2 linked regions of the Kluyveromyces lactis genome follow. The protein of the gene in region 1 interacts with the protein of each later gene in a pairwise test. Links are inferred from orthologs where the notes say so. Each region holds a gene or a part of one and is shown on either strand. Other genes may lie near its edges. The genes, in order: MAK16 and RPF1.

What was found.
Region 2: the proteins of MAK16 (region 1) and RPF1 interact in binary tests that used the Saccharomyces cerevisiae proteins (3 or more experiments, as listed by UniProt). The link is inferred for Kluyveromyces lactis from reciprocal best matches to the Saccharomyces cerevisiae genes MAK16 and RPF1.

The regions. Positions count from the first base shown.
Region 1 is NC_006037.1:359,429-362,365, forward strand, and holds MAK16 (ribosome biosynthesis protein MAK16), read right to left. Parts: upstream 1,462-2,937; coding exon 553-1,461; downstream 1-552. Other genes in the region: aminophospholipid-translocating P4-type ATPase DRS2, read right to left, coding at 1-227; mitotic regulator LTE1, read right to left, coding at 1,900-2,937.
Region 2 is NC_006042.1:2,011,908-2,014,908, reverse strand, and holds RPF1 (rRNA-binding ribosome biosynthesis protein RPF1), read left to right. Parts: upstream 1-1,293; coding exon 1,294-2,172; downstream 2,173-3,001. Other genes in the region: KLLA0_F21692g (pleiotropic drug resistance family ABC transporter), read left to right, coding at 1-757; karyopherin MSN5, read left to right, coding at 2,893-3,001. UniProt on the Saccharomyces cerevisiae protein: Essential protein. Required for biogenesis of the 60S ribosomal subunit.

The sequences.
Region 1 (2,937 bases):
AGTAAGCCTCTCTGTGAGGTATCCATTCCTGAATCTATTACTGCACTTGGGCTGTTCCTTCTTGGACTATCCCGTAAATCCGGGGTGTAGCTATCATCAAGAAAGTCAACATCAAACAACGCATCGCTGTCGCCATGCTTAGTTGAGCCACTCATTGGAAAGCAGGTTGATCGGTGTGTCGCTCCTCTCTGGCTCTGTATCTCCCTTTCAAAGTACTTGGGTTTCATGGTGCAAATGGTTTACGAATCTTTCTGTTTAATGTGTCCTAATGGGATTTTCCGGTATAATTTACAAAGAAAAAACTGTCAGCATGGAAACAATATTTCCACGTGACTGCTATTTCGAATGCATTATTTGGGTACAGTATAACAAAATGAAGGGAAAGGGGACATACTATTGATGGTGAGATGCTATTGTAAGTGTATATAATTATTAACTATTGCCTTTGCTTCTTTATCGTAGTTGGAAATTTATCTTCAATAAATATAATAATATGTCAAATTTAATAGTATACAAATGTGGTCATGACGAGCTCTGTTTTTCAGAAACGCATCATTGTGCAAGTTCTTGTTGGTTGGAATTTAGTTCCTGTTCATATTCGATTTCAACCTTAGGATGTCTCTTTCTGGTTTGTGTAGATTTCTTTTGTCTCTTAGATGGGTTTTCTTCTTCATCGCTATCTTCGTCGCTACTGTCTTCGTCACTGTCCTCATCACTGCTGTAATCAGATGTATCAGAACCACCGAGCCATTTTTCTAAATCTTCCATATCTACCATCTCATCCTCAGCGTCTTCATCTTCTACGAATTCGACTTCTCCCTCATCGCTTTCTTCTTCCTCATCCCAATCGTTTTCTTCTTCATCCAAGTCCTCGTCTTCTACACGTCCCATGACCTTCTTCCAGATCTTTTCATCCACATTCAAAGGCTTATCACCATACACACCACTCTTCAATCTCTCAAGCAATTCTTTTTCGATAGCCTTTTCAATCTTAGCGGCTGATAATGCCTTACGTTCTCGGTTCTCTTCTCTTCTTTTCACCTTAGGAGCAATACCGACATAATGTCTCTCCTCCTCTCTCAATGCCAAACGTCTCTCTGTAATCATCACTTGTGTAAGCTTTGTCATCCTTTGCTTACACTTATGAATTAAGAACTTGTTCCAATACAGTAAATGTTCATCGATCTGTGCTAATGCCTTTGTGTAATTCTTAGATAGTTTCACTCTTTCCCACAATTTAGCAGGCGTGTGAGCTCTTTCCGCGGTCTTCATGTACAAGTAAAGTGTTCCGTCCACGTTCTTTACAGTGGCATATTTACTATTTGCCAAAGGACACGCTTGTCTCGAACATAAACCTGTTACGTTGTATTCATTTCTACAGAAGTTCTGTCCCTTATCAGTTTTGACTTTGTACGCACAAAAGTGCTGGTTGATAACCTGCCAAATGATCTCGTCAGACATCTGCTAATGTTCAGTCAATCCTACAGATACTGGTTTATGCTTAGTATGAGTTTATTTAAATTGGTTATGACTATCGCTAAGTTTACTTGCTATTCCGCTAGTCGCTGCTTCTTTCATTTCATCTCATCTCATCGCATCGCATCGATATTTTTCAGTTCTCAAAAATTTTCAGGCAGAAAGAGAAAAAAGAAATGGATTACTAAATTTTTAGTCACATGACCAATGATATTTTATTGTTATAATCGGAAACTTAATCAAGAGTCGGAATATGCATGATTAGATCTAAAGAGATTAACCTTCATTCAAATATGTTCGAAAAAAATGTGGATGAAACTATTTGAAACTGATAAAATCGTGTGTTGATATATATATTATATGAGGTGAAATGAACTGAGACTAACTAGTTCTATGTCAAATACTTTACTCGACATTAAAGAATTAAATTGGGGATTTATGTGAAATTGAATTGATTTCGTCATGGGACAATGATGTGATGTAAACACACTTGCTTAACAACTCATGGTCAATATCAATGTTGTAAAATTTGGACCATTGCATCTTCTGTACGAAGTTTTTCACTATTTGAACATTTGTTTGGAATTTGTTGTAATTTAGCACTTCGTCATGTACAATCCAGGTACGTTTCTCAATGTTTAAAGATAGATCCGATAAGTATACCACGATAAATGGAATGCATCCAGAAAGTGGTTCGACTTCGTCTATTAATTGTCTAATGTTACTGTAATTCTTTTCCAGGGATGGTATGGCCTTCAACGTTTCCCAAGTCAATAGATCGCCTGGTTCGACAAGTCTCCATGTTTCAGTGAATTTCTGAACGACAATGGAGTTTAATGCAAGGATGATTTCCATCAAAGTATTGTAATTTTGTAACTCTTTACAGTGTTCGGCTATGTGAATGAATCTTTGGATCGTGTTCCTTCTCAACCTTATGTCCTGAGTCATTACGATTTCAGAAATGATCCAATCCACGGTCAAGTTGAACCTTGCTATGGCTAAATCGATACCCGACAAGTTTTCGTTCTGTACCAATAATTGCAGCCAACTGGTAAATTGTGGAAGTTGTTCACTCATTGTCAAATCCAATAGATCTTTCCAATCAACTTCAGATAGAATTTCCTTTTCAATCAAGGTCAATTGGTTTGCCACAGATTTAGAATCATACATCAGAATGAACGGGATATGTTGCTCTAAATTGTCTATTTTAAGCCTTGAATCAGTTAATGTGTACTGGTTTAACAAATTACGAATTTGTTCATCAGTATTTTCCAATCTGGTGCAGGAGGAGTCTTTGTCAATGAGTGAATCACGAACGCTAAAATCGATCATTGTGTTGCGTCTTCTCTGTATGAACATGGATTGCCTTTTGCGAGCGCTTTCAGGAAGAGCTGCAGTTTGTACGATTTGGAAATTTTCAACTTCCCGGGCTAATTCGCTGTTAATTGATGGACTTTTATC
Region 2 (3,001 bases), on another chromosome or scaffold:
TCAAATCACCGTTGAAATTCCACTTAACATATGTTTTGGTACCATTGCCTTCTTCGTTTTCTACTATCCTATTGGTTTCTACAACAATGCGTCATATGCCGGTCAATTAAACGAAAGAGGTGTGTTATTCTGGTTATTCTCTGTTTCCTTCTACGTATTTATCAGTTCAATGGGTCAATTGTGTATTGCAGGTCTTCAGTATGCTGAGGCTGCAGGTAATATGGCATCATTAATGTTCACTATGTCCTTGAATTTCTGTGGTGTGTTTGGTGGTTCTGGTGTTTTGCCAGGGTTCTGGATTTTCATGTACCGTATTTCACCGCTAACTTACTTTATTGATGGTGTACTCTCAACTGGTCTTGCAAACAACCCTGTAACATGCGCAAACTATGAATACGTCAGCTTTAATCCAAGGAGTGGAGAAACCTGTGGTGAGTACATGGCGGACTATATTGACAAGAATGGTGGTTATCTACTAGATTCAAATGCTACGGAAGATTGTAATTTCTGTAAGATTTCTGAAACAAACGCATTTTTGACAAGTTTCCAATCTTCGTACCATAGAAGATGGAGAAATTTCGGTATTTTCATAGTCTTCATTGTGTTCAACTGGTGCGGTTGTGTTTTCCTATACTGGTTGGCTAGAGTTCCAAAGAAGAAGAACAGAGTGGCTGATGAGAGAGACCCAGATCATGGCAAGAAAATTGAAAATGTTCAAAAGGAAAAGGTTGAACCTCAATCCAATGAACAAGTTTAAGGATTTTTGCTTTTTGGCCAATTTTTACGTCGTTTACTTCTGTTTTTTTTTAACTATTAAACTTCATTTCTTATCGTGGGCTTGCGTTCTGCTTTAATATTTTGTTTATTCTGTATATATAGACCTGAATTGATATCTGGTTTCCCCATATATTACTATGGAAACCAAAAAAAGAAACTTCGATTGCATATAAAGTCCCAATATAACTCGATTGCAAGTACGAAAATTATTCAATTTTAGCATGGATCTCTGTTGTGGATGGTCGTTGAGGTAATCAAGATCCTTTGATGGGATATTCGTCAGCTCACCCTTCCTACAATGATTGCAGCGACGAATGTGAACTCTTTTCTTTTTATCGAAAATTAGCTTTCCAAAATTTTGAAAGTTTTTGTATTGATCAGATGAGATGAGATGAGATGAGATGAGGCTAACAAGATAGAAGTTGAATATAGTGGAACATAGCTAGTTATGTAGCTTATTCTAGGTCAAATAGCGAGGGTGCATAACAGCAAATCGGACGATACTATAATTTCAAAATGGCAGTGGATGAACTCAGAATAAAAAACAAGCAGAAGAGGCAAAAACTCTTTGCTGAGTTGAAGGATCAGCACAATAAGGAGCGTCATTCTATGAGGAGGACCAGAGCCAAGGAAGAACGTGAGAATCCGGAATTGAAGGAAAAAAGACTTGCTGAAAATGTTCCTGACACAATTGATAACCTCAGAGTTTACGATGAAACGATGGGTCAAGAAGTCGAAGGTGAAATGGATGATTTTATGAAATTTTTCAACGGTACCGAACCACCAAAGATTCTATTAACAACTAATGTAAACGCCAAAAAGAAGGCATATGAGTTCGCTAATATCCTGATCGAAGTTTTCCCTAATGTGACTTTCGTGAAGAGGAAATTTGGATACAAGCTGAAGGAAATCTCTGAATTCTGTAATAACAGGAACTATACAGATATCGTGATAATAAATGAAGATAAGAAGAAAGTAACGGGGCTTACATTTATTCATCTTCCAGAGGGGCCAACCTTTTATTTCAAAATAAGTTCTTTCGTCGAAGTCGAAAAGATCGTGGGCCATGGTAGACCAACTAGCCATATTCCAGAGTTAATCTTGAACAATTTCAACACCAGACTTGGTAAAACTGTGGGTAAACTATTCCAATCTATTTTCCCTAAGAACCCTGATTTCGAAGGTAGACAAGTGATAACGCTGCATAATCAAAGAGATTACATCTTCTTCCGCAGACACCGTTACGTTTTCAGGAACGAAGAGAAAGTAGGTCTTCAAGAACTTGGGCCCCAATTTACTATGAAACTCAAAAGACTACAAAGAGGTATCAAAGAGGAAACAGAATGGGAACACAAACCTTCAATGGACAAAGAAAAGAAGAAGTTCAATCTATGATATATTTGCATATATTTATATACAAATTCAAAGCCACCTGTGTACTAGTCCTGCACTTGGAGATTTATCAAAGATTTGACGGTATTATCATCACTACTCACGAGGCTGACGAAAAGTGGTGGCAAAATGAGAAATTCCTTGGCTTTAAAGAAAACAGGGCATTGAAACCTTTAAAGGATTTGGAATGTTTTGGGCTTAAATGAGTACAAGCCCACTGTTGAAAAGATTAATTGAAACAAACGGTTACTCTGTTGATCTGAAGAGGTGGTACACTAATTGCTCTTTAGGATTGTCATATTCTTGGTCATTATATTTGATCGATTGCAATCTAAGAAAAAGTATTTTTTCAGGCTGTTTGTTATTGTTGTTTTATTGGAAAGGAATTATTAACACGATCGATCACTGGGAAAGTAAACACTGACAGTAAAAACACTAAGCCACTTTACTCTTTTTTTTGTACACTGTTGCTATTACCTCTCTTTTGTTTTCAGCATCTTAACGTTGATTCTGGACTCATTTTGAAAACAACAGGAAATATCTGATCCAATTCTGTCTTGTAACTAAAGCGAATTGGGAGAATAAACACACTTGATATCATAGCTGTCTCAATTTACCACATCGGTTTCTGATATTTTGAATCACTTTTGATTCAAGAATTACGAGTTCTCTTAAATTATATTAGTTTATAAGCAAGAAAAGGGACTGGGCACAAGTAGAGCAATGGAAAATTCAGGCGCTTCTCAAGTGGTCGCAGCTTTGGAAGTAATTTACGATCCAAAATCAGATAATGCGAAGAGATTGGATGCACAGAAGTTTTTGGACGAAGTGA